2 linked regions of the Notamacropus eugenii genome follow. The protein of the gene in region 2 purifies or fractionates together with the protein of the main gene of each other region. This does not show direct contact. Links are inferred from orthologs where the notes say so. Each region holds a gene or a part of one and is shown on either strand. Other genes may lie near its edges.

Region 1 (15,991 bases), on a different chromosome or scaffold from region 2:
ATTGTTTCATTGATTGTCAACTTGAAGAAGTGACTCAGGGACTTGTCCTTGACAAGTTAACAATTTGATCAATGACTTAGATTTGCAGATGATGAAGGCTGGTAGGGCCAACCAACACAGGATCACATACTTACCATCCAAAAAGTTCTTAAAAGAAAAAGGAGTCAAATCTAAAAAGATGAAATTTAATAGATATAAACCTCAAGTTCTACACCTGGGTTAAAAAAAATCAACTTGATAAATATAAGGCAGGGGAAGGCATAATCAGAAAATACAGTTCATCTGAAAAAAATCTTAGGGTCTTAAGCTCATTAAGGCTAGGTAAGACATCATTATTTATCCTTGGATTCTTAGCGTTCAGCACTCCAACCTTGTAACATAACAAGTGCTTAGTAAGTCACTGCTCAAGGAATGATGGCAGTGTAACAAGGCAGCAGTATAAAAAGTCACTTGGGACAATGAGGTCATCAGTTCACACCTAGGGAAATAAGTAGAGCTATATATTTCAATCAAGGTAACCTAGAAGAAAAAGGCGCTGGATTGAGGAGTCAGGAAACCTGGGTTCAAATCCCAGCTCTGACACTTAATAGCTGTGGGACCAATGACAAGGTATTTGACCTTTGCACCACATCAAAAAACAAGGAGAGTAACATTTGCATTACAGCCTTGATAAGGTTGTTGTGAAGGGTAATACTTTGTAAGAAGGGAAGGGATCATTTCTTACCTACTTAAGAGCTATCAAAGTAAAAAGAAAATGGGTCACAATGGAAGCTGTGATCTTGTTCATGGATTCTGGGCAGACTGCATTGGGATGGTTCCCCAGAATGAAAGGTGAAGACTGACCACCCTCATGAATCACAGCCAACTTTAAGAAATAGAAAAGGACTTTTAGAGAGGCAAGCTGGGACCAAAGAAGCAGGAAGTAGGGAGAGAGCACAAACCAAGGGGAAAAGAGAGGAAAAAACTCTAGGAAAGCAGTGTCTTCAAGATGCATATTGGTGGCCTGAGGATAGACGAATGATGGATTTTGGAGGCCAGGTGGGAAATAACTGTTTTCCAGCATCTATGTTTGGGAAGGGGACCCCAAAAAGGGCACAAAGGAACTAATTTCACACTGAGTACAAAATCTGAGATCCAGGTAAAAAAGGGTACCTGTACCTCTCCAGGTTGGCAGGAGCTAACTTGTCTTGTCAGGAACTGCAGGAAAGAACGATAGTGAGGTGAAGTGTGGGAGGGAATGACCATTATAGGAAATACTTGGGCCATGATACTCTTAAATAAAGCTAGGCAAGGGATATCTAAGTGATATAGTGGATGGAGCACTGACTCTAATCTGGAGTCAGGAGGACCTGAGTTCAAATCCAGCCTCAGGTACTTATTAGCTGTGTGACCCTGGACAAGTCACTTAATCTCAGTTGCCTTTCCCACCCCCCAAATAAGACTAGGCTATAGACAGGGCTGCCCTTGACCACTGAAGTGATCAAAGATACAAAAAAGTATCACCAAAAGCAGGAACATAAGTGTATGCAGCAACGTTTCAGCAAATAATAAATCACATGAACACTCCACAGAGACTGTACATAACTGGGCAGGAAAGTGAAGAGGAGTCAGAGCTGCTGGGTCAGAGAAAAGAATATGTTACAATGCAATCTGAGGGGCTGAGTTCAAATCCTGACTGCACATGTGTGACCTTAAACAAGTCACCTAACATCCCTGGGATATAGTTTTTTTTACCTGAAAAATGGGAGGACTGGACCAGATACCCCTTAAGGTTCCGTCCAGACCTAAATCTATGATCCCTGACTACTGACCCTCTTGTGACCATTCTCCAATGTTGGAAACCAGAAAGAGACTTCACTGGAGAAAGAGAAAAGCTAAGCCATGTTTGACACCAAATAAAATTTAGAGATGATATATGACTGGTGGAACATGGGAAGAATGCTAAGGAGGAAATGGGAGGAGATGCCAGCGCTTACCCGCATATTAGGGTCACTCAGAGAGTGTCGGGCACGGGCGATGGCCTCTTCAGTCACCCTGGTGTCACCATTGGACTGGATCTCCAGCACAGCCATCTTGAGAAGGGGAAGAAATCAGAGGCAGAGCCTGAGTGAGATCAATGTAAGAGAGAGAAATGGGGGAAGGGGCAGGAAGCAGGATAAGAGGGCAGGTATGGGAGTTTAAAAAGAGGAAGGAATGACCAGGGACTCTGCTCAGGGTAAGGAAGGAGGGTGGAGAATCCTAGGGATGGACTGGAAAGGGCATGCTGGGAGGAAAGGGCATGGGCAGGGTGGGATGTGAGCAAGAAGGCCATGCTGGGGAGATCAAGGGGAGAGGGGCCAATACCTCCAGTGCACACATCCCGAATGAAAAGATGTCCACAGCTGTCCCGTCAGCAACCTCTGAAATCGAGGAAGCAAGGGTAGGGGAGGAAGGGTGTATACCACAGGGTTGAAGTTTAGGGAGAAGGTATCACAGGGTCAGGGACTGAGGAAAATGGTGCAGGGAATAAAGGTTAGGGGTAAGAGAACAAGGGAGTGGGTATGGAGAACTGTAAGGAAAAATGAGGCCTGGAAGAAGCCCCAGGGGTCCCATTGGTCACTCACGGCCATACTCCGGGGGGAAAAAATGCAAGTTTCGCTGTTCCTCTCGCTCAATGCGTATGGGGCTACGGAGATCATCTGGAATTGCTGGAGGGAATAAATTGAGAGACTGAGGTGGCCCCAAAGGACTTTCCCCAGAAAAATACTTGATCTACCCCCATCTATTCCCACCCACCCCTGTCTGAAACTCACCATTGGAGAATACCCTATGCCAGACTGAGGGAGAAAAAAAAGAGAAAAATCTGAATGGGTGGTGGGGAGGAACAGGGCCAGCAAAAAGGTAGGCTTTTCCTCTTCTCTGGCTCTCCCCCCTCCATGGTCCTCCAGTGCAGCCTCACCAGAACCAATCTTGATTAGGCCATTGTGCTGGATGAAGATAGTGTCACTGGTCAAGTTGCCATGAATGATGGGAGGGTTGCAGGAATGAAGAAAGCTGAGGAGACACAGACCCAGCCTCAGAAAGAGCTAGAGGCTAAGGGGATATGGTATTAAAGAGAGAGAGAGAGAGAGAGAGAGAGAGAGAGAGAGAGAGAGAGAGAGAGAGAGAGAGAGAGAGTGTGTGTGTGAGTGATATGCATGTGTGTCTGCATTTTCCACGAGTGGGGTTCTAAATCTATGATTTCATTGGTGTGAAGAACTCCCAGTGAAGAAACTCTATCAATGCAGATCGGCAACTCATCTATAATACATTATTTCAGAGTTTTCTGGAACACTGGGAGGTACGTGACTAGCCCATGGTCACATGGCTTGTATGTCGGACAGGGAATTAGATACTTAGGGAAATGAGAGATTGGAGGGAGTAGATGGGCAACTGAAAGCCACGTAGAGAGGTGAATGGGGCTATAAAATAGTGTGAGGAAAACACAAAGTAAGCGGGCTGAGGGCCACGGCCACCTCACCTGAGAGCAGACAAAATCTGAGTACACCAGCGTTTCCAGGCCTGCAGGCAGAGGGAAGAAGAGGGCTTAAGTCTTTGCTACTTCAGGCAAACAGCTAGCTTATTCCCCACCAGGCACTAAGCACCAGAAGGTCTTCAGAGATGGAGTTAAAATCATCTGAGTCCAGCTCCTCACCATCAATACCAACAGCCCCCTCCCCCAGAGCCCCCATACCCGGGCATTCATGGCTTTATGGTTTTTTTTTGTCTTCTTCAAAAACTGCTTGAGGCTGCCTGAGGAGACGTACTCGGTGATGAAGATGACCTAGATGGGCAAGACCAGGGTTCAGCTCTAGGTACTCTCCTCATATTCCCAGGGGGCTTGGGGAGTTCCTTGACAGTGAGGACTGGCATACAGGAGGAGCTTAATGACGACTGACCTATTCAGTGAGCAGGAGCAGCAGAAGGAAGTTAGGTGCTGGTCTAGGCTGAGTCCCTAGTGTTGCCCCTTCCCACCCAGTGGCTCAAGGATTGGGGGAGAGGGAAGGGAACAGGTCAAGAGGCAGGCTGTGTAATGGGCAGGACACTGGGCTCACCCGGGCCTTGGATTCTGGTGTGTCCAACCAGTATTTGTGCAGTTTGACAATGTTGGGATGGTCCACAAGCACGAGTTGTTCAAACATGGTCTGGATCTTCTCCTGGGGGACCAGAGGTTTGAGGGGGAGATGAAGCACAGACTAGGGGCAGGTGATACCAATCAGTGGATTTGGGGGGAAGGAGGGGTCACCTCATGGGCCTTGAAAGCCTTCCTGTCCGTGAAGTGCAGTTCATTCCACACAACCTCTACACCTTCCTCTGTGTCCATGGCTAGGAAAGTGCTCTGGATCCCTGGCATGTTGCCCTGGTTGACCTGGGGAGGGAGTGGGATCATTCATGGTACCAGAAGCGAGGAGTGTACAAGGCAGGGGCTTGGCAGGTTAGGGGCACAAACTGTGGTTATGAAGGGGGCCAGTCAAGTCAGGAATCAGGGCCAAGGGGAGGGGAGTTGGACAGGCAGGGCAAAGACACAGGCCCATGCCAGCCCCACCTCCCCCTTCCCTTCCCTGGCCCCCTTGGGTCACACAAAGGCTCCTCTCATCTCTAGCCTGGACTCAGAAGGGAAGGGGAGGGGAGAGGAGGGAACAGAGAAGTCGCCTGATCCAAAAGGGAAAGCTGAAGTAACTAAGGGACAGGGGCCCATTTGGTCCCCTAAGATACCGTCTAGATAAAAGACCCTGCCTTTCACTGAGAATGCAGTCATAAAGGTGGCTTCTGCCCCAAGTTGTACCCATCTTCCCTTCACCCCACCCCCAAAACCATCAACTTCCCTAGAATCCAGGGATTTGGAAAACAGCAGGAGTGGAGGATTAATCAAACTAGGAATGTCTGCTGTACATATGTCTCCCAATCCCCCAGCCTGTGACAGATCCAGACCTCCCCCCATGGTATTGTGGCCTTTCCTCTTTGTATACACTGCATGGGGGTGGGGAATGGAGATTTCTGTCTGCCCCCTCTTTCCTCCCTTCCCTGGGAGATCTGTCCCATTTCTCCCTTTGCTCTAAAGGGAATGAAGCAAAAAGTAGGGGCCTTACTGAGATTTATCACTCTAACCCACGATGGTACTAAGCAATTCCTTCTTGTACATGTTGAAAAAATGTGTCTGTCCCCTCTCGCCCCCTACTCTGTTAGGAGAATGTGTCTGTCTGCTTCTCCCCCTGTTCTAAACGGAGTGAGGCAAAAAGTAGGGGCCCTGCAGAGCTCGGGGAAGGGAGGTGGGGCAAGTAGGAGCTGGTATAGGACTGAGGGATCAAGTCCTGGGCACTGAGCCAAAGCAGCCTGAAGCCTAGCTCCCCATTCACTCGAGCCCCTCAAGGCCCCACCCCATAGCCCCTCGGTGGCAGCCTTCTGCTGCTGGGTCCCTCCCATCACATCGCGCTTTGAACCCCCGCCCCAAAGGCACAGCAAACAGCAGCTACCTACCCCCCTACCCGTCGACCCCGCCCTCAGTGCCCCAACTATCCTTGGTTCCTACAGACCCCTATCCAAAAGCCGCAGCCCCGGGAAAGCTCTGGGCCCCGCCTACCCAGCCCCTTGAGGTCCAGTCTGCTTTTCACCAAGGGCTCTATGATCCCCGCCCACGAACCCCTCGGGTCCTAGAATCTCCCCCTAGCACAGCACCCCTTCCTCAGCCCAAGGCCCACGTGTCCCATGGGTCCTAGCGTCTTCCTTTTCTCGGAGTCCTCGTTCACAACTCAGGGCCCACGAGCCCCGTCCCTCCTTCAGACAGCCCCCTTGCCAGGACTCCGAGTCCCCTTAGTTCTAGCGCTCGCTCCCAACCTGGGCCAGGTCCTACTCGTTTCCTCGCCGCGCGACCGCTCCCAGCCCCAGGGGCCCGGGCCCCACCTGCTCCCGGCGCTTCTGCCAGCGGCCGCACGGACTCTCTTCCAGGATCTCACTCTCGTCTTCACTCTCGTCCTCCCGCTCCCGGCCCCGCCGCGCCGGCTCCGGGGCCGCCATGGCTGCGGCCGCCCGGGGAGCGGTGCGGGGCCGGGGGCCGGGGCCGGGGCTGGGGCCGGCGCGGGCCAGTCCGGAGGCTTGGCGGGCTCTGCTCGCTCACGGTCACGGTCACGGCCACGGCCACGGGCAGGGCCCCGCCCCTCCCTCCTCTGGATCCCCTGTGGGCTCCTCTTGCAGCGCTCCGGCCGCAGCTGCAGCGGGGCCGAGGCGGGAGCCTGGGAGCGGCCGGGGAGCTCCGCCCTCCTGGTCCCGCCCCGCGGGGTCCGCCTCGGGCTGGCTAGGCCACTTCGTCCCGCCCCCGTCGCGGCCTGGGGCCCCTTCCCATTGGCCAGCCCCCAGCCCGCGGCCCCACCCTTGTGTCTGAGTGTGCCCTGGTGCCTGGTGGGTGTCTCTGTGTATACACACACACAGTCTCACACAGACACACAGACACACAGACACACAGACACAGACACAGACACAGACACACACACACACACACACACACACAGACACAGACACACAGACACACACACACACACACACACACACACGCACACACACACACACACCTTTTGCAGGGGGGTTTTCTGAAACGTAACTGGAAATCTTTTCTAATCTCCCCAAATGTCGGTGCCCCCACCCATCCCCCAGAGGAATGTAAACTTCCAGAAGGTAGGGACTGTTTCACTTATATCTTTGTATTCCCACTGTGTGACACAGGGCTTGGCACATAGTAGGGGATTAATACTTATTGGTGAATTGATGAGGAAACTCATCTTTTGCCAAACAGGCAAAGTTACCCAAGGTCTCACAGCAATAAGTGGCAGCATCAGATTTTGAATCCATATCTTATGATTCCAAATTCAGTGCTCTTTCCAATATAAGATAGCAAAAGATCGTTGAGCAGCAGAGCACCTCTGAAACCAAGTTAACAAACCATTTACTAATGATGATAGTAGCTAACATTCATGTAGCACTTCAAGGTTGGTTTCCCAAGTACTTTATAAATATCCCATTTTATCCTCACGGCAGCCTTCAGTTGTTGGTGCTTTATTGTATTTTCAGAGGTAGATGGTATTGTTACTGTTATTTAGTCTTGTCAGACTCTCCGTGACCCCATGGGGGGGTTTCTTGGCAAAGATAATGGAGTGGTTTGCCATTTCCTTCTTCAACTCATTTTCCATATGAGAAAACTGAGGCAAACATGGTAAGTAATTTGCCCATGATCACATAGCTAGCTGAACTCAGGAAGATGACTCTTCCTGAATCCAGGCCTGGCACTCCATCCACTGTCCTACCAAGCTGCCCTGTTTGTTATTGTTATTCCCTACTTACGAAAGAGGAAACTGAGACAGATAGAGATTAAGTGATTTGCTCAGGCTTGTACAGGTAGTAAGTTTCCAAGACTGATTCCAGTGCCAGAGTTCTTTCTACTGTATCTACTTAGTTGCCTCCTACTATATATCGCAAGGATACAAATGTAGCAAGACTGATAAGGGAAACCCTGATGAATTTAGTTCCTGCTCTCAAGTAACTTATAAGGGAAGGAGGATATGACGTGCACAAATAAGGAATGATACAAGATAGAATTTGATAGGAACCCCAAAAAAGGACGAAAAATTTGAGGATAGAAAAAAATTTCAGCTGGGGGATATTGTCACCCACATTTGGTCCTCACACTTTTCTTTTTTTCCCACCTAAATATTCATCCTCACCTAGTCTCTTCTCTACTCTCAACTGTACATTTTCGGTACATTGTGTAGCCACAAGTGACCATACAATAGGAGCCATCCTCTGGTTCCTATATCCTCCTGGTATAGAAAGGGGTCAGAACTGGGGTCTGCTACACCCTCCCTCAACAGAATTTTACACTTAATGAGGAGGGGTAGCCTAGTAATCTAATGACATGGAAAGGGATGGGTTAGATACCTTCAAAGGGACTGATTCTGTAACTGCAGATAGTTCAGGAAATTTTCCTAAATGCTAGCAGCAGATGAGAAGTGATGTGGAAGCATCTACCTCCTCAGCTTGGTCTAAGATTTGAAATGTAAAATTTTTATTAACAGAATATGTTACAAAATTATCACAAGTCAGATCGTCTCCAAATATAGCTCATACTTCATTTCCCATTAATATCCTTATATATCTTTCACCTACTTCGAACCAAAAGAAAAAGACATTCTGATTACACTCCAGAATACCTTTATGAAAAGACATCCTAATTTCAAAAGACATAGTATTTAAACTTTTAACTATCACCTGCCACTCAGGTATAGAGTCAGCCATTTCCATTCCCAGAACATACAACCCCCCCTATAATAGATAAATTCACAATTTCATTTTCCCTAAACTCTCCCAGAAGCTTTTGGTGGAATAGGAGCCCAAGTGGCTCCTAAGATACTGCATCAGGGATCCGAGGCGTTAGGGTGAGTAGCTGTCTTCTCCCCAGAGATAGATGCTTTCTGGTTCCCACCCTGTGAACTTTGCTCAGCACTGGAGTCATACTATCTCTGCCCTGCTTCCCCAGGTCTCTGCTGTCTGGTTATGTTTTCAGAGGAGGATTATGACTCCCGTACAGTGAGAAAGAGGGAGAGATGGAGTGCCCTGCCCTACCACTGGGTGAATTCACCCTCTCTATGTCACTTCTTTCACATGTGTTGCCACCTGGCCACCTGATGGGACTTTTCCTCTCTGGCCTGATGTCCCAAAATCAGCCCAGTTCCTTGGGTTTTTAACTGCTGTGGTAGGCACAATAATTAATGACAGTGTCCCTGGAATTTCATTTCCTGACTGTAGCGGTTCCTATCTCCTGAATGCAACAATCTGGGTAGAGAACAAAAAAATGTCCACCTGACTAGTCATTGGCTAGAGGAAATCATTGGTTCAGAGATCTAGTTGTAATGGGAGGTGAACCTCTGATCAGTTTAATGAGTTTCCCCAACCAACTTGATGAGATCATGTGTTGTGGACCTGTGCTGTAAGGGAGTACCTTCCATGGAAGTTCCTACTCCCCATGTGACCTTGGGTGAGTCCCTAAGTCTCCCAGGGCCTTCCTTCCTTACCTCTAAAATGAGGGAGTGGAACTGGATGGCCTACAAACTCCCTTCCAGCTATAGATCTATAATTTTTTTGTGCCCTAACCTCTAGTTAAGAAGACATGGGCAACCCCACTGATGATTCTCCAGTAACTGGGTTTGCTTTTAGTTGACCCTCAAGAATATGGACTTTTATCAGAGGAACTGCCTTCTCTTCTTTAATTATGGGTCGCAATTTCATATGGGGTCACTGAAGGGGTCGCGAGTGGAAAAAGTTTAAGAAGCCTCAAATAAGGCCAAGCTAATAATAAAGTCATCTCTTTTAAAAATAATTTAGTTTTTGTTACATTGTGAGCTCATATACATACATATATGTGTATGTGTGTGCACAACCATACAATACCTTTTCTGGTGGTGGATATCATCTTCCTTCATAGGTCCTTTGTAATTGATTTGAATATTCATCTTGCTCAGAATTTCAAACACTATTGCTAATGATATATGACATTCTCTTGGTACCATTCATTTCACTCTTCATTATTTCATGCGAGTCTTACCATATTTTTCTAAAATCAACCTACTCATCATTTCTTAGAGCACAATAGTATTCCATCACATATCACAACTTACTTAGTCACTCCCCAATTGATGGGCATCCCTTTAATTTCCAGTTCTACCACAAAAAAGAATTATAACCATTTTAGAACATATAGGTTCTTTTCTTTTTTCCCTGATCATCTCAGGAAACAGTTATTGTGTTATTAATTAATATTAATCATGTTATTGCGGAGTCAGAGAATATATACATAGTTTTGCAAGTCTTTGGGCGTAATTCCAGATTACTTTCTAAAATGGTTGGATTAGTTCACAGTTCTATCAACAATGTATTAGCATCTCAATTTTTCCCCATCCCCTCCACAATTTGTCATTTCCTCTTTCTATCATTTTAGCCGTACTGATAGGTGTGAGATGGTATCTCAACTTTGTTCTAATTTGCATTTTTTTATAATCAATATTGACAGAGCATTGTTTCAGATGACTACATGTAGTTTTGATTTCTTCTTCCAAAAACTGCCTGTTCATATCTTTTGACCATTTATCAGTTGAGGAATGACTCTTATTCTTATAAATTTGACAAAGTTCTCTACATATTTAAGATATGAGAACTTTACTTGAGAAATTATCTATAAAACTTTCCCCCTGTATTTTTGCTTTCTTTCTAACCTTGGCTACATTGGTTTTATTTGTACAAACCCTTTTTAATTTAAGGTAGTCCAAAGTATCCATTTTACATCCCACAATGCTCTCTATCTTTTGTTTATTTGTAAATTCTTCTATTCATAAATATGATAGGTAATATGTTCTGTGTTCTAATTTACTTGTGATATTTCCCTTTATGTCTACGTCATATGTCCATTTTGACCTTATCTAGCAAATGGTGTAAGATATTGGTCTATACTAGTTTCTGCCAAATAGTTTTCCAGTTTTCCCAGCATTTTTTTAACCGTGTGAATTCTTATCCCCAAAACTTAAATCTTTACATTTCTCGAACACAAGGTTACTACAATCATTTACTACTGTGTATTGTATATCTATTCTATTCTATTGATCCACGTTTTTATTTCTTAGCTAGTACCAGATAATTTTGATAATTAACACCTTATAATACAGTTTAAAATTGGGTACTGCTAGACCTATTTTCTTTACATCTTTTAATTTCTTTGATATTCTTGACCTTTTGTTCGTCCAAATGAATTTCATTATTTTCCCTAGCTCAATATAAAAATTGGAAGGAGGGGTAATTTCATTGGGATAGTATTGAATAAATAGATTAATTTAGATAGAATTGTCATTTTTATTATATTAACATGGCCTACCTATGAACAATTAATATTTCTCCAATTATTTTCTGACTTTATTTGAATAAAAGTATTTTATAATTGTATTCATATAGTTCCTGGGTTTGTCTTAGCATATATGTTCCTAGTTATTTTATATTGTTTATGGTTATTTACATCTCTTACTATCTCTTCTTGCAGGGCTTTATTGGTAATATATAGAAATACTGATTATTTATGTGAGTTAATTGAAATAATAATTTTAGCAAAGTGGCAGGATATAAAATAAACTCACATAATTAGTTGAATCTTTAAGATTTTCCAAGTATACTATCACATCTTCTACAAAAAGAAATAGTTTTATTACCTCATTGCCCATTCTGATTCCTGAAATTTCTTTTTCTTCTCTTACTGTTATTTCTAGTATAATATTAAATGATGTTAGTGACAATGGGCATCTTTGTTTTACTCCTGATCTTATCAGGAAAGCTTCTAGCTAATAATGTTTGCTGATGGTTTGAGACGCTTATTCTCAATTTAAGGAAGAATAGATTTACACCTATGTTTTTTTAATAGGAATGAATTCTTTATTTTGTCAAAAGCTTTTTCTGCATTTATTGATATAACCATGAAATTTTTATTACTTTTGCTATTGATACGATTGATTTACTATTGATACAATCATTTGTGTTAATAATTATATTGAGCCAACTCTACAATCCTGTATAAATCCCACTTGGTCACAATGGAAACATAAGGATATATTGCTAAAGTCTCCTAGCTAGTATTTTATTTAGGATTTTTGTATCAATATTCATTAATAAAATTGGTTTATAATTTTCTTTTTCTGTTTTTGCTCTTTCTGATTTAGTTATCAGCATTATATTTGTTTCATAAAAGGAGTTTGGTAGGATTCCTTTGTCTATCATTCCAAATAATTTATTTAATATGGAATTAGCTGATTTTTAAATGTTTGGTAGAATTCTCTTGTAAATACATATGTCCTGATGTTTTGGTTTTTTCCTTAAGAACTCATTTATAGCCTATTCAATTTCTTTTTCTAAAATAGGTTTATTTTATACAAGGAAGAAAAGAAAAGAAGGATAACTTCCAACACAACATGTAGTATTTATCATACAGGATTTCTTGAAATGAAAATTTATCATTACATACTATGAATCCTCTCTTATGTTTGCTATATACATGACATGCTTTTCCCCCTTTTTTTGCATTTAAGTTTATGATTTTTTTATTTGCTCTCATCTATATTTGTGTTCTGATGTTTGAGTCTAAAATTAAAAAAAAAAGAAAATGATTAGGTAGAAAAAATAAAATAGGTTTATTTAAATATCCTGTTTCTTCTTCTGTTAATCTGGGCAGTTTATGCTTTTGAAAGTATTCTTCTATTTCACTTAAATTGTTAAATTTATTGACATATAATTGGGCAAAATAAATCCTAATAATTTCTTTAATTTCATCTTCACTAGTGATGTATTCTCAACTTTTCATTTTTTGATACTAGTGATTTGGTTTTCTTCTCTCTCTTTTTTAATCATATTAACCAATGGTTTATCTATTTTGGGTTTTTTTCATAAAAGCCAATTCCTAGTTTTATTTATTAATTCAATGGGTTTTTTTTACACCCACCCTTAATTTTTAGGATTTCCAATTTGGTGTTCAGTTGGAGATATTACAATTTTTCTAGTTTTTAAAAATTGTATACCCAATTCATTGATCTCTTTCTCTGTTTTATTGATGTAAGCATTTAGGGATATAGATTTTCTTCTGATTACTGCTTCCCACAAGTTTTAGTATGTTGTCTCATTACCATTCTTTTAAATAAAATTATTTATTGTTTCTATGACATCCTTTAATCCACTCATTTTCTAAGATTAGGTTATTTAGTCTCCAATCAATTTTTAATCTGTGTTTCCATAGTCCTTTCTTAAAGGTAATTTTTATTATATTATGATCTGAAAAGGATGCACTTAATATTACAATTTTCCTGCACTTAACTATAAAGCTTTTATGTCTTAGTATATGATCAATTTTTGTAAAGATGCCATGTACTACTGAGAAGTATATTCCTTTCTATTCCCATTAATTTCTCTCCAGATGTCAATCATATCTAGCTTATCTAAGATTCTATTCATCTCCTTGACAATTTTCTTATATATTTTTTTGGTTAGATTTATCTGATAAAGGAAGGTTGAAGTCCCCCCTATTATAATCTCGCTATCTATTTCCACCTGTAATTCATTTACTTTTTCCTTTAAAAATTTGGATGCTACAGTACTTGGTGCATATTTGTTGTTTGGTTTTTTTTTTGGATTACAGAATGAAGCAGACTATTTTCTTTTGTATTTTGTTTTGTTTTTTGTTTTATGGTTTCTGCCATTCATTTAATTTTTTTTTTTATTAATTTTTAACATTTATTTTCACACAATTTTGGGTTACAAATTTTCTCCCCTTTTCTCCCCTCCCCCCCCCCAAACCCGAGCTTTCTAATTGCCCCTGTGACCTATCTGCTCTCTCCTCTATCCTCCCTCCCTGCCCTTGTCTCCGTCTTCTCTTTTGTCCTGTAGGGCCAGATAGCTTTCTTGACCCCTTAACCTGTATTTCTTGTTACCCAGTGGTAAGCACATTACATTTGGTCCTAACACTTTGAGTTCTAACCTCCTTAGCTCCCTCCCTCTCCACCCCTTCCCCTTGAAAGACAGGCAATTCAATATAGGCCATATCTGTTTAGTTTTGCAAATGATTTCCATACTAGTTGTGTTGTATAGGACTAATTATATTTCCCTCCATCCTATCCTGTCCCCCTTTACTTCTATTTTCTTATGGTCCTTTCCCTCCCCATGAGTGTCGACCTTGGATTGCATTCTCCTCCCCATGCCCTCCCCTCCATCCTCCCCCCCACCCTGCTTGTGCCCCTGTCCCCCACTCTCCTGTATTATGAGATAGGTTTTCCTATCAAAATGAGTGTGCATTATATTCTTTCCTTTAGTGGAATGTGATGAGAGTAGATCTCATGTTTTTCTCTTGCCTCCCCTCTTTATCCCACCACTAATAAGTCTTTTGCTTGCCTCTTTTATGAGAGATAATTTGCCCCATATAACTTCTCCCTTTCTCCTCCCAATATTTCTCTCTCACTGCTTGATTTCATTTTTTTTTTTAAGATATGATCCCATCCTCTTCAATTCACTCTGTGCACTCTGTCTCTATGTATGTGTGCGTGTGTGCATGTGTGTGTGTGTGTACTCCCACCCAGTGCCCAGATACTGAAATGTTTCAAGAGTTATAAATATTGTCTTTCCATGTAGGAATGTAAACAGTTCAACTTTAGTAAGTCCCTTATGATTTCTCTTTGCTGTTCGCCTTTTCATGGTTCTCTTCATTCTTGTGTTAGAAAGTCAAATTTTCTTTCCAGCTCTGGTCTTTTCATCAGGAAAATTTGAAAGTCTTCTATTTCATTGAAAGACCATTTTTTTCTCCTGAAGTATTATACTCAGTTTTGCTGGGTAGGTGATTCTTGGCTTCAGTCCTAGTTCCTTTGACTTCGGGAATATCCTATTCCATTCCCTTCTATCCCTCAATGTAGAGGGTGCCAGATCTTGTGCTATCCTGATTGTATTTCCACAATACTTGAATTGTTTCTTTCTAGCTGCTTGCAATATTTTCTCTTTCACCTGGGAATTCTGGAGTTTGGCCACAATGCTCCTAGGAGTTTCTCTTTTTGGATCTCTTTCATGTGGTGTTCTGCGGATTCCTTGAATATTTATTTTGCCTTCTGGTTCTAGAATCTCAGGGCAGTTTTCCTAGATAATTTCATGGAAGATGATGTCTAGGCTCTTCTTTTGATCCTGGTTTTCAGGTAGTCCCAGAATTTTTACATTGTCTCTCCTGATTCTATTTTCCAGGTCAGTTGTTTTTCCAATAAGATATTTCACATTATCTTCCATTTTTCGAATCTGCGTGGTATGTTCTGAGATATCTTTCTCGAAAAGTCCTTAGCGTCCATCCGTACCATTCCAGTTTTGAAAGATCTATTTTCTTCAGTGAGCTTTTGAATCTCCTTTTCCATTTGGTTAATTCTGCTTTTGAAAGCATTCTTCTCCTCATTGGCCCCTTGCACCTCCCTTGCCAGCTGAGTTAGGCTAGTTCTTAAGGTGCCAATTTCTTCCAAGATTTTTTTGGTTCTCCTTTAGCAGGGAGCTGATCTGCTTTTCATGCTTCTCCCTCATCCCTCTCATTTCCCTTCCCAGTCTTTCCTCCACCTCTCTAACTTGATTTTCAAAATTCCTCTTGAGCTCTTCCATGGCCCGAGCCCATTGGGTGGGCTGGGACACAGAATCCTCGATTTCTGTGTCTTTGCCTGATGGCAAGCATTGTTCCTCCCCATCAGAAAGGAAGGGAGGAAGTGTCTTTTCTCCGGTAAAGTACCCTTCAATAGTTTTATTTCTTTTCCCTTTTCTTGGCATTTTCTCCAACCAGTGGCCTGACCCCTGAATGTTCTCCTCACACCCACCTCGCCTCCTGGTCCTCCCAGACAGCGTTTGGGGACTGATATTCAAATGCTGCTTCCCGCCTTAGGATTTTTGGCGGGGGCAGGGCTGCTATTCAGTGTGAGAATTAAGTTCAGGTGGTCAGGGGCAGGGCCGCCTCTCAGGCATAGTTCCCTCTGGTGGTTTATGCACAGACCTTCCACAATGGATCCAGGCTCCTGCCCGTTTGGGGAGTCCCTGTCCGCAGCCGCCTCTCAGCCCCCACCTCCCGGGGGGGCCCGAGCCTTGGGGGCACCCCACTCCCCTCTCAACCCGCCAAAGAGACTCTCTCACCCACCCCCGTCAGTCACCTGTTGGTGGGGGGGCCCGTGCCGACGCTGAAGATCCCGCCTCCTGAGCCCTCTCAGATCCGTGCCTCTCAGAGCCGTGGCCGCCGCCGCTGCCGCAGGTCTGGGCTGGGCTCCGCGTCTGCAGCGCGACGGACCTTTTGCGAGAGGTTTGCAGGTCCCTCTGTGGGTGGGGGGACCCGCGTGGCCGCTGGAGATCCCGTCCCCGTAGCCCTCTCGGATCTCCTCCCCTCAGTGTCACGGCCCCGGCA
Region 2 (16,636 bases):
CCACTAATAATCCATGGAACACACTCTGAGAACCAGATTTAAAAGTCTATATCCCAAGAGGCAGGCTTGAGAGTATGGAGGGAGGGGGCTGGGGGGGAAAGAGTGTCAAGAACAGTTAGGATTCCTGGGAGGGGGCACCATGATAAGGGGGCTCTAGTAAAAACAGCCCATGCCTGTTGGGCAGGATACCAGAGTCATGGGATCATAGATTCAGATCTAGAAAGGACCTTGGAGAGCATCTAGTTCAATTCTCTCATTTTACAGAGGAGAGAGACTTAAGGTCCACAGAGATTAAGTGACTTGGGCTAAGGTCATAATGGTAGAAATAATGACAGTTAATATTTACATATCATTTTAACGTTTGCAAATCTTTACAACAATCCTGAAAGGCAGATAGTCCCACAGCTAATAAGAGTCAAGATTTGAATGCAGGTCCTTGGACTTGAGAGTTAGTCCTGTTTCTACTACACCATGCTTTCCTTCTTTGTAGGGGAGCTAAAGAAGTTCTTCTGCTCACTGTGAAAGACTTAAGAACTCTGGGCAGCTCATTGACCAATTGTGATTTGAGTGGGCCCAGGTATGCCACCCACTTCCTGAAAGAGAGATCATGGCATAGAGGAAGACATTTATTTTGGACATGGTCAATTTAGGAATTTGTTTTGCTTTGACTATATTTGTTCTAAGAGTTTTTCTCTTCTTTTTTATCTATTGGTGAAAGGTTGAGAGGGAGAGAAAATAGATTGTATTAATTACATTAAATTAATTAAATAAAAATTATTATAGTTTTAAATTAAAAAAAAAAGTTGTTCTTCTCTAGGGAGGAAGGCCTTACCACACAGAGGTTTAGAAAGACAAGTCTAAGAGATCTAGGGATTGGAGAGGCAAGGAGGGGGAAGGCGGGCCAAGGAGAGCTGATACTAGGGACAATCGGAAGCAGAAAGAGGGGAGAGATAGCAGGCCTCCTCCCCACTCAGTGTTCTGAGCAGCCCCCAGGGTCTGGGCCTTTTGCCAGCCAACTGGGATCCAACCCTCTCTCCTCTCCCGCATCTATGCTGCCTTCAGGGTGGTGCAAGGCAAAGGGAGGGCAAAGATCTGGTTCCTTGCCCTGACTAGGAAAAAAAGGGTGTTCTTGCCTCTACACTGGAGAGCAAAGGAAAACTAGGAACTCCTATGTCCTCATCCCCTCTTAGGCCTAGGCATCCTGCCTCCTGGGCTCCGATCCCTTTTCCCAATCACAGGTCCAGCCCCTTCAGTCTCCACCTTAACCATGTCAAGCCCAGCTCCCCCACAAAGGACCCAGGCTCTCTCTAACCCAGCTCTCCCTCCCACCTTACCATTACCTTACCCAATCACCCTGGCTCTCTGGTCCAAGTTTTCCTTTTAGGAAGGACTCGGGCAGTGTGTCCCCCAGCTCTTCCCAAGCATAAAGAGGTGGGGTGAGGCCCACACACCCCATTCCTGAGCCAGGGGGACTCAACCAAAACCAGCTGGCCCAGGAAGGCGGGGCAAAAGAAGCCAGGCAGGGCCAGGGCCCCAGAGCAGAACTGGATGAAGCTGAGACTGGGAAAACCAACCAGTCAGACTAGGGTGGAGGGAGTGGGAAGGAAAGAGCTGAGAGAATGGAACTCCATGAAAGATTATGGACTGCAGAAGCTGAAAAGGAGACAGACAGATGGAAAGACAGAGACAGAAATGTAAAGACGATCTGAGTCTAAGGAACTGAAGGTCAGAGAGGAGCGCAGAGCACAGCAGAGAGCTTGTGAGAGAGGCTTATTCTTGCCAGGGAGCCTGCCAAAAAGGAGGGGGTGGGAAGCAACAGGAGTCACCCTGATAGGTGCAAGTGACTTGCCATGTGGTGTCAGGCCTCACACCTCATACATTCCTGAACCCACAGCTGCTCTGTTCAGCCTTGCCTGGCAGGCCCTTTCTCCCCTCCCTTCCTCTCTCCTCACATCTCTCTGTCCCACATCTTATGATCCTTTCCACAGACCAAGCTTATTTTATTTATCTACCATTCCTCTACTCAATTATCCCCTCCACAATCTTCCTTCCCTAGGGCTTTTCCCTAAGGCTGGAAAGAAGATGAAACCTAAAGAGAAGGGTGTGGTCCATAGGAATCCTACTGGAAACACTTCACTCTTCCTAGTACCTACTAACTTAATTGGCTCTGGAAATCCAATTCCTTATCACCTTCCAAATGAGTAAATCCTACTCCCTAAAATAGCACTAAAATAGGAATTCCCACTCCATCTACCTAATGAAATAAAAAGTGTCAACTCCCTATTTTTTCTACCTTGCCCCAATCCATCCACAGACAGAACTCAAGCTGCCCAGTAGCTCCCTCCCGTTAGGGGTTGCTGACACTCAAATGTTGAAATCTGGCCCCTGAAACAGGAAGTTTTGCCCTCCTTCCTGCCTCTACACAGGCCATTCTCCCCTAAAGGAAGTCCGGCCCATCTATCTACATGTCAACAATCCTCCCCCACAGCATGACCATGAAGAAGGGATCTGTCCACTATGGCCAGGGGATGAGACCACAATCAAAGTTTTCCCTAAGCACCAGGACTGACTGGGTACTCCCTGGGTCCAGGAAGCTAAGGCAGGATGCCCCACTTCTCTTCCTGGTGGCAGAGAGAATCTAATGTGACTCCCTGGCCTCTTCCCCGACTTGACAAGAGGTTTCCAGGTCAGAATAAAGAGTTGCTTCCACCAAACCAGAATGACCCACCCACCCACTTCACTGAAGGTGAGGGCGGACTTATTCAGTTAGTTCATGCTTTCAGTCACAAGTCACCTCTTTTTCTGAGGGTAAGGAGGGGTTTGTTCCCTTATTTCACGCTTTTCAGACCCAAGTCATCTTCCCACCGACTTCTTTCACTGAGGCTGAGGATGGGCTTGTTCAGGTCATGTTTTTCAGATACAAACCACCCTCCCACCCCCAGTCCCTTCAAAACAGGAAACTGTGTTCCCTCTTCCTTCCCCCTACCCCAACAGCCCCCCCCAGCAAAAAAAAAATATATATATATGTATATAAAGTTTAATTCATATGTCCCAGTTCTTTAAAAAAAAAAAAAAGGCCCTCTATCAAGCCAATTCAAAAGGAAGTCCCTCCTACCTGTCATCATCACCGTCAAGGGAGCCACCAATGGCAAGCATAGATCGAGCCAGATTCAGGCGCTGAGCAGAGGCTCCAAAGGGGTCTGAGGATTTCCGGTTGGGATTGGTATCCTGAAGGAGGGAGAGGGCTGGAGAGCCAGGGCGGGAGCCTCGGAGAGGGAGCTAGAAAGAGAAAAACACACAACACACACACACACACACACACACACACGTTTCTAAATCATACCTAGTCTTTTGGTTCTCCCACCTTACCTCTCTTCTGCTCTAGCCCACCTTTCTCCCTATGACCCAAGTGACCTGTGGTCACAAGTAATGCCTAAGTGACCCATGGGATGTGTTCTGTGGTCACAAGGCCCTGAAGTGCTCAGTTCACATAGCCCCAGTTTGGATGGGGGTGGGAGGGCAGTGGCTAAAAGAGGCTTTTGTATCTGTACCAGCTTCATCACCTTCACCTCATCAAAGACAGAATACCCAGCATGAACTCAGCAACAACTAGTTGTCAGAGAAATCTAGGCAGAAATACAGTTATGGGGAGGGGAAGGGGGAAGGTTGCCTATATCATTTCCTACGTACAGCTCCCCCAAGTTTCCATAGCTGGTCCACAGGATAGTGTCCTCCCAGTTCCCATCCCCACTAAACCACTGCTCCAGCCTCAACACCCAGGTGTTCTGCTTCCTTTTTTTACCGCTGTTACTGGGAGGTTGGGAGGAGGTGGAGAATGGGTGTGGAGCTGTAGAGGGTGGATGCAACAGGGGAGGGGAGGGGAGGAGGGTGGGGGGGGTCAAGAAACAAACCTCCTTCTGTGAGGCCCCAGGAGGCCCTTGCTTCTAGGAAAACTTAAGAACAGAGAATCCAGGGACTGCCAGAAGGACAGGGCAGAGACGTGGGGGCCTCTAGGTCCTTTCTGTCTGCTCTCCATCTTCCCTCTCTCCACCCCCCCACCTCAAAGGTATGGGGAAAGAGGTTGGTAAAAGAGAAAGACGCAAAGATATATCTACTGAAAGAAAGAGACCAGAAGGTTGTTTTAAATAAACAAGGATTGGGGAATTATGGAAGGAGAGGGAAGGGGAGAAGAGAGGCAAAGACTCAACATAGTGGAAAACTCTGAGCCAGGAAGGCTTTAAGTGGCAGAGACAGAGGCTAGGGGCATTGGAAAGAGACAGAGTCTGGGGGAAAGGGATTAAAGAGTAGAAATAGAGCCTCAACCCCCAGAACTGGGTAGATGAGTGAACCAACTGAAAGAAAGTAAGGGGTGGTAGTGGTGGTGAAAGACCTGTGTACGTGTGGCTGTGGGGGGTTGCGGGGGGGGGGGGGGGGGGGGGGGAGGGAAGAAGGTAAGCCAGTCCTGGCCAGTCCTGGCAGGGCCCAGACATTCAGTCTCAGGTTATTTTTATACAGTGGTTTGTACTCAGGGGCCTGGAAGGGGGAAAAAGGCCTCATCTTCATTTTCCCACAAACCTCCCTTTCTCCAAGGTCTTGAGTTGTCCTGCCTCCTCAGCCCTGCTCCCTAACCAGAGATTCAAGTGTCCTAGCCCCTGACCTCCAACAGGGTCCTCTAGGGACCCAGGCATCCTATCCTCCAAACTGACCTGTTCCTCTTTTGGAAATGGAAAAAAACATACACAATTTTACTTTTCTCACCTTGCTCCTCTAGCCCTCTTCCCCTTTGTTCCACCCCCTCCAAAACTATCATAATCTTTGGAGGCTAGGGCAGGGGTGGAAAGAGATCTGGAAGCTATGCCTGGGGTACTGCAAGCCCCTGAAAATACCCTCCTTTCCAGTTCTAGAGATTCCAAGCCTTGGTCTGAGGCTTGAGGGGAAGGGTCCTGGAACCGGGAGAACAGAAATGGCCTAACTTTACCACAGATAGAAGAAGCCAGAAGGGCATGGAAACCACAGGATAGCTGAGTGAAGGAAGCTGTGTCTCCCCCACAAGTACCCCTCAAAAGCGTTCTTTTCAGTCAACTCCATGGTCAGATCCTTCACACCCTCCCCTACAGAGCCTAGTGTTATCAATCAGTCTCCTCCATTTCTGAAACTTTTGTCCAGAGAAAACTATATAATTCAGAAGAACAGATGGAGAAACAGAAAGATACGGAGGGACAAAAGAGATACACAACACTGAAATAAAAGTGAGAAAGAAACTTAAGAGAAGGGGAAGAGAGCAAAAGAGGGAGAAATGGAATTGAGAGAAGGGATGGAAATTCAGGTTCATAGAGAAGTATTAGGGACTGGAAGAGTCAAATATAAGGATGGGAGAGTTGAGGTACAAAAAAAGAAAAACTGAGGAGGACAGAATAGATATAAAGGGGAACCTGAAGTCCAGGAAGGAACTGGGACAAGGCATGAGACTAACACAAGTCCAAGGAAGAAAATTAAGTTGCAGAGAGACCCCCTTTTCGTGCACCCCTCCCACCCTTGCCTCTTACCTGGCCTCGTTCCTCCCCCTCTTTCCTCAGCCAAAAGGCTCCATCCTTCTTTCGGGTGGTTGGAGGAGTCACTGCTGGGGCCCCCACCTCGGCCTCTACCCTAAGGGTGGGCACCTGGGTTGAGGCATGTGGTACCAGTACCCCTGTACTGTCCCCATCGCTGGGCTCCGGGGGGTGCTGCTGGGGTGGGGAAGCTGGAAGAGGTGGTGTTTCAGCCCTCCCCTTGCCCCCTGCCAGCTGAGCTAGTCCCCCAGTGAAAGATCGGGCTTGAAGGCCAGGGGAAGTTGGGGGTGGACGCAGCCAGTTGGTTGGGCCTTGAGGTTGGGGGCTTGGGGGAACCAGGCCCAAACTGGACAACTCTAGCCTAGAATCCAAAGAGCGACCACCAGTCCCTCCAGTGGCTCCCCGAACTCCCTCCAGGAGCCGGCTGAGTCCTGGGGCTTCCAAGTCCCTCTCATAAATGTCCACACATGTCCAGCGCCCTCGGCGATATGGTTCCCCCAGTCCTTGGGGAAGTTTCACTACCCGGAAACGTGACGCTGGGGCCCCGGGAGGTGGAGAGCCATTTCGAGGGGTCCCTTTGCCTCCCGGCTCTGAGCTAGGCTCGCCATTGGGAAGACGAGGTGTGGGTAAGGTGGGAACCATAGCTGTAGGGGAGTCACTTCCCCCAGATCCCCCAGGACCTTCATAGTCTGTGGTGACACTGGTGATCTGGAAACTACTCTTCTTCTTACCCCCGCTCATGGTCCCTCGGAAATGGGACAGGAGCTGCACGAAGAGGAGAGGCCTCTCTCCAGGCAGCGCTCAGGCGCCCCTGGCACTAGGAGGCCATATAGCTGTGGGATCAGGGCCCCTGGCAACATCGGGGTCCAACATAGCTGGGAGAGTTCAAGGAACTGGGGCCGCCTCTGAAATTGAGGAATAGCAGGGAGAGAAGTTGTGGGAGTTGGAGGATGGGCAGGCTTTCCTTTGGCTGCTGCTGCCAGTGCTGCTGCTGCTGCTGCTGCTGCTGCTGCCGCTGTTGGACTCCAGAGCTGAACTTGCAAACTAGGAGGAAAAAAATTAGAGAGTCACTGGGGGAGGGAGTAGGTGTTATGGGAGTAAGACACTCTGGGTGCTTCCTCTGTGGGGAGAGCAGTGGAGATCAGGGTGGGGGAGAAACGAGGGAAACCACCAGAGAGAGATAGAGGAACCACAAGAGGTAGAAGAAAAAAAAAGAATGGGAAACAGAATGAGGTAGAGACAAGGAGCTGGAGGAAGTAAAGACAAAACAAACAGATTACATGGGTTATTATTGGTACTGTGCAGAAAGAGACAAGCCAAGTCCCAAGTTCGAGATGTAGCAAGGAATCTGGGTCTACAGGAAAGGGAGGTGAGCTCACCACTTCACAGCTCTGGTCTGGCATGGGCTTTCACACCCTAGTCTACCTTGGGGTGGAGGGGAGAGGAGAGCTTCCCTTCAGTGCTACTAGCACCCATTTCAGAATCTATGGGGTGCTAAAACTTCTCCTTAATCCTCGGCTACCCCAACTGGGCACATGCGTGCGCACACACACCCCCCTACAATCCCACCCCTAAATTCACACACACACACACACACACACACACACACACACACACACACACACACACCCCTACAAACACACACACACACACCCCTACAATCCCACCCCTAAATTCACACACACACACACACACACACACACACACACACACCTACAATCCCACCTCTAAATTCACACGCACACACACACACACCCCCCTACACACACACACACACCCCTACAATCCCACCCCTAAATTCACACACACACACACACACACACACACACACACCCTACAATCCCACCTCTAAATTCACACACACACACACACACACACACACACACACACACCCCTACAAACACACACACACACACACACACACACACACACCACACACACCCCCCTACAATCCCACCTCTAAATTTCCCCAGAGCAACTCGAGAAACCTGACCTGGGGATCCTGGCAGCATAAGATGCCCCAACAGACTGTCCACAGGAGAGCAGGAGAGTGGGGCCTCCCAGCCTAAGCTCCAAGAAAAGGGAGGAGGTGGGTGGTGGTCACAGGCAGTACAGTCCGTAGAGGCCTTTCCTTGACCCACAAGTCATCTCCACAGCAACTTTGTTTTCCAAAAAATAATAAGCACTGCTTTCAGTCCCAGAGGAATATGGCCTTTATGGTGGTGAAGGGCCTTTAGGTCTGAAAGCACAGCTGGTCGGAGAGAAGCCGAGGGCTACTCTCTCTGGAATCTTTTCCCTTCTGACAGTGGAGCGCGCTCGCGCGCTCTCTCTCTCTCTCTTTCTGTCTCTCTGTCTCTCTCATCGAGCATGTGTCTCTCTCTTGTCTCCAGCTCTTCTCTCTTGGACTCTTGTCTCTTTTTCTCAATTTCCCTAGCTCCTCTCTGTCTCTGTCTGTCTGTCTCTCTCTCTCTGAGCTGTTGACAACCCCCACACCAGGAAGTCCTGCCTCCTCAGCCCTGCTGACTGCTGTTCTACTCCTCCTCCTTCCCTTCTTCCTCTCTCTCACTCTCTCCCGCCTGCCCGCCCTCCTCTAGGGGCTCTCTGCCAGCTGGCCCTACTCCAGAACTACTGTGGCTCATAGAGGGGGCCCCAAACACTGGGGTCCTCTTAACCCCACACCTGCCTGGTGAGGTAGGCTCTTCCCAGTACTTTAGGGAGTCAAGATTGGGTTGGAAGAAAGATCAATTCCCTTGCAGTTACACGGGGACACGGATAAATGTCCATATACGTGAACTGACACAGAGGATATTTATTCATACACACACGTATGTATTATATATATGTATGTATGTATGTGTATATATATATCTTTGGACTCAGCACATTTGTAGAAATATGAACAGGTAAACAAAGATTCACAGATGCCCTCACAGATACTCATACATACATACATATATATACATATGTATACATACACATAAATATCTGTGCACAGAGATACACACACAACTCCTCTTAGAAAGAATCCAAATTCCTATTTTCTCATTTTACGACCCTACCACCTTGCTTCTCCCAAAGAAATTCAAGGACAGGCCATTTAGCATAAAGAGATTTCATAGATTTCTAGGTTCTCAGAATCTGAAAGGACCTCAGAGGTCAAGGTCCCATCATGCCTCATGGAGAACTTCCATTCTAACAAATTCATTGCCATTTAAAGCTACTCTATAATCATTGTTAGCTTTTATATATGACTTCAAGGTTTGCAAAAGCATTCTCATGACATCTGTGAGATAGGCTTTACAGGTTATTATTTCCATTTTACAGATAAGGAAACTAGGGCTCAAGAAGTTTAAGTCACTTGGCCATGGTCACACAACAAGTAAAACAGCCTGTTCCACTTTTGGACAGCAAAAATGTCCCAAAGCATACTTTGTAATTTCTATACTATACTCCCCGCTCTCCTCTCCCCTTCCTCCCCCTCAAAACATTCAGAGGATAGTAGTTTTAAGTATCCTTTCACTTTCCTGAGTTCAAGGGAAGTTACTATCCCCTCTTTCCGGGGGGAGGTTGTTCTCCCCCATTAAATTGTGAACTCCTTGAATATTTTCAAGAGAATATTTTTTGCCTCTTTTTGTATTCCTAAGGCTTAACAAGGCACTTAATAAATCTTGATTGACTGATCTTTGGAGTGACTTCCAGTCCTCCCTAGACAAATCTTATCAAGAAAGATCCTTGATACCTACCTCATATACTTATTAGCCATACAACCTTGGGCAAATCACTTCACCTCTCTGGACCTCAGTTTCTTCAACTGTAAAATGAGGGGGTTGGTCTCAATAAGCTCTAAGATTCCTTTCGGTTTAATAGACATGATCCAGTGAACTCTCCCCTTCAAATTCTTGACAGCATTTCTAATATTGTATATATATACATAGATGCATATGTGTATATGTACATATGCACATGTGTATACACACACAAAATACTGCATCATATAGATGTGGGCAGCTAGGTAGCACAGTAGATAGAACTCTGGGCCTGAAGTCAGGAAGACTTCTTCCTGAGTTCAAATTTGGCCTCAGAAACTTATTAGCTACATGACCCTGGGCAAGTCACTTAACCCTATTTCCCTCAGTTCCTCATCTGCAAAAGGAGCAGGTGAAGGAAATGACAAACACTCCAGTATCTTTGCCAGGAAAATCCCCAATAGGGTCAGTCACAAAGTGTAAGATGCAACTGACATGTATTATATTTATATGCATACATACACACATACATGTATGTGTCCATATATGTATGTGTGTTTCTGTTTGCTAAAAGAAATCTGGACTGTGGCTTGTTTCCTTCCCTTCTCCTGTAAGGCCCTGGAAGCAAGGCCCCCACAGATCCTACTCTATACTTCCTAGAATAACTGTTATATGCCTCTCATAGTGTCAATTACCCCTCTCTTTGGCACAGTGCTCTTCCAGTACCACACCCACAGTATTCCCTGCATGCAGTCACAGTATTTAAGCACCCATCTCAATATAAAGGCATAAATTCAAATAAATCCAAATTTTTTCAGGAAATGCTTTTGGATAATTATGATTGTAACTAGTCCTAGAAACAATAGCCAAGTAAGAAAACTATCGCTTTAAACCCTGGGGTTCTCTGCCCCCCCCATCACTATCTTCCCTTTATTTTCCCCCAAAAAACTGTTTTCAGTTTACAAACTCATCCAATTCAACAAATATTTATTTACTAAAGTGCCCAGTTCTAGGCGTTGAGGAAACAAAGATGAAAAACACAACAGTTCCTGTCCTCAAAGGGCTTATATTCTATTACAATAGTGTTATATCTTCCAGGCATGTTTTATTTCATGATTATTTTGAGAACTCATTTTATTGATCACTTGGTCTTTGCATCATCATTATTCCCTCCCTCCCCACCCCCACTACACCCTCCCTTGTGACAAAGAAAAACAATGAAGGGAAAACTGATACGGAAACTTTACCTGAGAATATATACAATACTCTGTCCTAGAAATCTCACCTCTCTGCTGAGAGGGAAGAGATAGATATGCTTTCTCTCCTCTCTAGGAACTTCACTGTGCCTAAGGGTATTTTAACAGAAGTTAAGACCTAAAGGCAAAAGAATAAATCACCAATTGTGGGATCTCAGATTTCTAGGAGGTGGGTGAGGGTAGGGATTGGGGAGGTGGATAGGTCTTCACGGTTTTGGAATTTACTTCATAGAGACAGACGCTAAGTGCTGCGATCAGTGGCGGTAATTAACATGATCAGGGACCACTGACTTGCCCCCCAAAGTAATCCTTGCACGAGTCCTAGGATGAGAGCTCGTGCTATTCCGGGGTGCCGAGGGTTACGGAGAAGCAAGGTCCAGGTTTTTAGGACGCCAGGTACAGCAGGAAAGGAAAGTCGATGGGTTAAGGATGAAGCCAGCTCCCCCCAGCCTTCTCCTCTTCAGGAGACCTAGAAGGCGAACAGCCCCTCCTGCTGGAGAGGTGTGTTTGTCTATTCGTACAGCCATCTGTCTGTCTTGGGCCGGTCTCTTTTGTCTCTCAGAAAAGAAGCCTGCTTACCCCTACTGGTCTCTCCATCTAACTACAGCGCCCCACCCCCGGCTGGCCTGCCTTGGGGGGAGCCCTGAAACTTGCAAGATCCCCAACTCCAAACCGCAAGATGTTAGGGCCGGAAAGGGCCTTGAGAACACCTTGTCCAAGCCCCTTGCTTCACAGAGGAGCCAAGGGGGGCCGGGGATCCCCTCAGTAAGCTTCCCCTCCCTGGCAGGGCCAGCACACATTCCTGGCGGCTCCCGGGCTGGAGGGGGCTGTGAAATAGACAAGGAGTGAAGAGGGCTGGGCCGGCGGCTGCAGGTCCGCACGCGGCCACCAGGGGGCCCCCCGCGCCAAGGCGCACCGGGGCGCCCGAGCCGCACGCAGCCCGAGGTGGTCGCGGCTGGGGCCACAAACTTAGGTTCCCGGGTCGGCGGAGGAGCGGGTCAAGCGAAGCCCTGAAGACAAGCGGCCGCTCGAAGGCCCCGGCGCCGGGGCCGGCCCCTCGCCGTCTCCGGGCTTCTCCGCCCCGCTCACCCTTGCCCATCCACTCGCGGCCCGCGCCTCCACGCCTCAGTCTCCCTTCAGCGCCCCAGCTCCCGCCGCTGCCCCGGCCCGCGTGGAGGGGCGGGTCTGGGGGCGGGCCTGGAGGCGGGGCTGTCTCTGCGGCAGGCCCGAGCTCCGCTCCCCCTGATCTCTCTGTCTCTCTCTCCCTTCCTCCCTCCTCCTCCTCCTGCTCCGGGCTCCGCCCGGCATGGGGGGGCCGGCGCCTGGCAGGCCAGGTACGGGGGCAATGGGGAAACTGGGGGGACTTGGCTGGGCAGGGAGGGGTGTTGGGTGGAGGAAGGGGAGCTGAGAGGCGCAGGGGATCCGGACGAGGGGAGAGGTGGAGGAGGGCACGGGAACCACGGGGCCGGGAGATGGGGCAGGCCAGGTCCAGAGAATCCGGGGAGATGTAGGGATGCAGGAGGAAGAGGCCCCAGGATGAGCAAGGAGAACGGGGATGGGGAGGGATGGGGCAAGTGCCAGGCTAGGTAAGAGGGTGGGCACTGAGTGGGAGATCTCTGGAGCCAGGGACTCAACCTGCAACCACCCCCCCGCGACCCCCACCCTCTCCCACTGATGCTTCGGGGGTGAGCCAACACTTGGGACTGATGGAGAAGGGCTTGTCCGCATCCCCAGATCCAAGAGGGTGGAAGGAGACTGGAGCCAGGGCTTGGGGAGGCAGGGGACTTGATGCCAAGGAGGTGATAGAGGGATATGACAAGGAGACGGAGCAGGGCCAGGCCCTAGCCTAAATGCTGGGAGGAAGGGGAGTGTGTATGTGTATGTGTGTGTTTGTGTGTGTTTGGGGTACGGGTGGGGGCAGGGGTGATTCATTAGGCAGTCAGGTGCTGGACTACAGTCTTGGGTTAAGAAGAGTGATTGTTGCCTGACTCAGTCCCCCTTCCCTCCTCCCAGATGCTGGGAACTTGACTGAGCCTCCCCCACCCCCCATAAAAAAAATGGTTGTAAACCTACACCAATAAGGCACCAAGCATTAACTCTTCTGTTTCAGCCTGTCTAATTCTGGGTATCTGATTAATGTGGATGTCTGTGTGTTTGTGTGTGTCTCTAGTCTGTGGGTGTGTCTGTGGGTGTTTATGTCTGTGGGTGCATCTGTCTCTAGATCTGTTTACCTGTGTATACGTCCATGTATCCATGTTCATCAATGTGTCTGGCCCTGTAGTGTATTCTGTATTATCTAGGCCTGTCTTATACACAGTGTATATATTGTATATGTAGTCTGTATAGAATATGCTTGTATTTTGTCAGTATGTGTTTCTGCACACTTGGGGATCTGAGGTATTTTTCGATACCTATCTGTAATCTGTTTTTGTTTTGTTTCTTTTTTTTGTGGGCCCAAGTCATGTCCTCTATCCTTTTTATTCCTGGTATCTTCTCATATTTTTTAAAAAAATTTCTTTTTCATCTTAACTGTGACCCTTAAGTCACTTAACCTCTGTTTGTCCCAGCTTCCTCATAGGGAGGTCGTGAGGATAAAATGAGATTAATGTAATGCACTTTGCCATCCTGTAAGTGCTATATAATGTAAGCTAGTATTATTACATATGTAAAGTGATTTGCATATCTTAAGGCACTATTATATGTCAGTTACGATTGCATTAACTTACTCTCATCTTTTTTGATGGGTTCAGATAGAACTGGACCAAGAGCAAGTTGCTATCCTGTTATTATTCTTATATATCTCATGTTCTGCGGATTGTTGTCCAGATTGATAAAATGACTACTTTTTGAAATTGAATAAGAATATTGGGATATAAATTCATCTTCCTAGACTCACTGAAAGCACCTTCCAAGAGCATGCAGGAGGATGACAGAGGATGACATGTTCATCCTATGCCTACATGGTTTGAATTTCTTCTGCTAGGTCTCTATTACTACTTGTACTCCTACAACCACCCCATACCACCACCACTACTACTATTATTTTTTTCCCCAACCAAGTTGATCCAGGACCCAGGGAGGGGGCCCCCCCAGGCCTGGTGGTGCTGAGCAGAGCCCCACATCTCCTCCTTCTTGCCCTACGACATGAACCTGCTCTACCGAAAAACCAAGCTGGAGTGGAGACAGCACAAGGAGGAGGAGGCGAAAAGGAGGTAAGACCATAAAATGATCCTAATACTCTGTCTTCATTTGCTTTTCTTACTTAGTGTCAACTTGGATGTTGTCAACTCTCCTCTACCTCACTTTTCTCTCTCATTTAATCATGAACAGCAATTGTTCTACAGGCCCTAAAGAGAATCACATAATAAGCATGATCCCAGCTCTCTGTGTATTTAAGTTCTAAGCTTTTTCTTTGGTCCTCAGGATCCTACTTTTCTGTCCAAAGTATTCCTTCCTGATTTAATTTTCCCTTACCCCTCATGTAAGATGGTTTCTTTTGTTCACCCCAGCTTCTACCATCCCCAAATGCCATATCCCTACTAACCCTCTTCTACCGTCCCCAAATACCTTTAGCATAAATTCCATTCTCATTTCCCTAGCTTCTTCTTCCCTACCCCCATCCTACTTGGGGCTGCCTTTTCTGTTCTTTGTCACCTGACCTCAGATAGTACAAGTCCAACAATAAAGGTGCAGAGGCAAACAGCTCTCTTACCTCCCAGGGTCCAAGGAGGGAGTTGGATGAATGAGGGAGCTTTTTTATTCCTTTCCCATCTTCTTAATCTGGGAAAAGTTGAGGAAAGAGGTGCAAGGTAGAAGAAATGGAAGATGAGAGACCATCGTTGCCTCTAGACTAGTGAAAACTAACTTAGGATCATGGATTTATTTAAATGTTTTTACAATTCAATTTTATTTTATTTTCTGTTCTGAATTCTGTCCTTCCTACCTCCTCCTCCCCTGCCTGATCGAGAAAGCCAGAAAAATAAAACCCATTGCAAACACGTATAGTCAGCAAAAGAAATTCTCACATTAGCCATGTCCAAAAAAAGAAAAAAATATGCTTCAGTCTTCACTCTGAGTGCATCACCTTGCTTATCTGGAGGTGAGCAGAATGTGTCGTTATGAGTTGGTTCATAGATCTAGAGTTGGAAGGACCCTAAAACCCATTCAGTCCAACTCCTTTATTTGATAGATGAGGTAACTGAAGACCAGAGAGGTTAAGATATTTGTCCAGGTTCACACAGGTACTAAATAACGGAGACAAGATTTTTTGGGGGGCAATTTTTCCCCCAAAATTTATTAATTTATTTGTTTTCACTTTTCAGCAAGCACTTCCATGAGTTCCAGATTTTCTCCCCCTTCCTCCACTCTCCCTCCCCGATGGCATGTGATCTTATATAGGTTCTACACATGCATTCCTATTAAACAATTTTCACATTAGTCATGTAAAGGCAAAATTTCTTGAAGGACTATATTAGATCCCTTCAGACTACACTAAGATCTGTACTCATCCTATCCTTTGCCTCCTACTATAGGTTTCTCTCTCTGTCTGTCTATCTCTCCCTGTCTCTCTCCCTCTCTCCTTACCCCAATCTCCCTCTCAGAGCTTTCCTTCCTCATTTCCCCACCCCTTGACTTCCTTCACTTTCCCCCTCGTGGCTATACTGTCTGGAGAAGCCTGAGTCAGATCCACCTCCCCATTACCCCTCCTCCCCCTCCTTACTGTGGGATTTAATTAATGTTGTTAATTAGATTAATCAGAGCTATCACTGCAGAGATCTCCCCTTAATGAAGGGTTAGTAGACAGGGCCCTAATCAGAGATCCCACCCCACAGCAACCCTCCAGTTTCCACACACATCCCCTACAGTTCTCCCCCCCTCTGTTCTTTCGCACAGAAGCACAGAGGCTGTGAATGAGAGGGGAGGGTGAGGGATAAATTGTGGAATCAGGAAAGAGAGTAAGGCAAAAGAATGACAGAAGGAAAGAAAGGAGAGCTAGAGGAAGGAGAATCATAAAGGAGGGGGGCGAGGAAGGCAGGCTAAGGATGACTGAAGTAGTTGGAAACATAGTGGAAAAGTAAGCCATCAGAAATGTGTGCATATCTCCAGCATGGAGTGAGGCCAGGGGCCAGATGTGAAACCTTAGGGGCTGATTCTGCATCTGCGGGTGCCACTCAGGCTTTCCTCTATGAGGAATGTGCTTGACATCAAATCCGTGCAGCTCTCCAAATTATACACAAAGCATTTCGTGCAGATACTGTTTGAAATATGGGGGCCCAAATAGACTGAGGGGCTTATTGTCCTCCTAGCTTGTACCCTCAAAACTTTTATCCATTTATCCTTTTCTTCTGTCTTTTTAATCCCCAAGACCGAGGCCTTGAAGCTTCCCCCTCTGACCACTGCTTTCTGTTTTATTTTTAGTGTCCTTTCCCATGGATCTCTGTATTAATCCTCATTCCTCACCTGCTGCCTGCAGCATACCCACACCCACACACCATACCATAACACACCAGGAGGTGACGAGGTAGCTTTAGGGGAAGCCCTGCCTGACCTGATGACTGCCTTTGCCTCTCTCATTTTTCTCTGCTTCTTTTTCTTTTACCTATCCCTTCCCTCAGTGCAAGTAAGGAAGTGGGACCTGCAGGTCCTTCAGGGCCAGGGCCCGGGGTTCGAGCACGAGACGTCTCTTCGCTTCGACGCTCCCTCAGGATGGGCTTCATGACCATGCCTGCTTCCCAGGAGCATGCTCCTCACCCCTGCCGTAGTGCCATGGCTCCCCGCTCCCTCTCCTGCCATTCAGTGGGGAGCATGGAGAGTAGTGGGGGCACTACTGGTGGTGGGGGGAGCGGTGGAGTTGGGGGAGATGTTGGAGCCCGGAGGCCACCTGTGAAGCCCCGGAGACACCCCAGCACCAAACTCAGCATGGCTGCAAGTGGGGCTGAGGCACCTCCCAGCAAGAAAGCAGGTACAATCCTCTTTTCCCCCATGATATTCCCTTAATTCAGCAAGGATTTTCCACAGGAACAAAGGTCCATTTTGAGTTTGAGAGTATCCATTTTGGCACCAGGGGGAAGTGGAAGGTTTCATT

The links.
Region 1: the proteins of TSC22D4 (region 2) and NRBP2 purify together in Homo sapiens (affinity purification with mass spectrometry; 3 studies listed by BioGRID and IntAct, counting the BioPlex papers as one, with this or other methods). This does not show direct contact. The link is inferred for Notamacropus eugenii from reciprocal best matches to the Homo sapiens genes TSC22D4 and NRBP2.

What each region holds. Positions count from the first base shown.
Region 1 is NC_092875.1:85,375,719-85,391,709, forward strand, and holds the start of NRBP2 (nuclear receptor-binding protein 2), read right to left. Parts: upstream 6,108-15,991; 5' UTR 6,034-6,107; coding exon 5,920-6,033; intron 4,388-5,919; coding exon 4,265-4,387; intron 4,176-4,264; coding exon 4,074-4,175; intron 3,803-4,073; coding exon 3,713-3,802; intron 3,541-3,712; coding exon 3,500-3,540; intron 3,034-3,499; coding exon 2,939-3,033; intron 2,817-2,938; coding exon 2,793-2,816; intron 2,688-2,792; coding exon 2,604-2,687; intron 2,400-2,603; coding exon 2,344-2,399; intron 2,073-2,343; coding exon 1,977-2,072; intron 1-1,976. UniProt on the Homo sapiens protein: May regulate apoptosis of neural progenitor cells during their differentiation.
Region 2 is NC_092873.1:80,323,480-80,340,115, reverse strand, and holds the start of TSC22D4 (TSC22 domain family protein 4), read right to left. Parts: upstream 8,107-16,636; 5' UTR 7,543-8,106; intron 6,594-7,542; 5' UTR 6,291-6,593; coding exon 5,547-6,290; intron 3,280-5,546; coding exon 3,116-3,279; intron 1-3,115. Other genes in the region: NYAP1 (neuronal tyrosine-phosphorylated phosphoinositide-3-kinase adapter 1), read left to right, coding at 13,696-13,763, 16,167-16,513.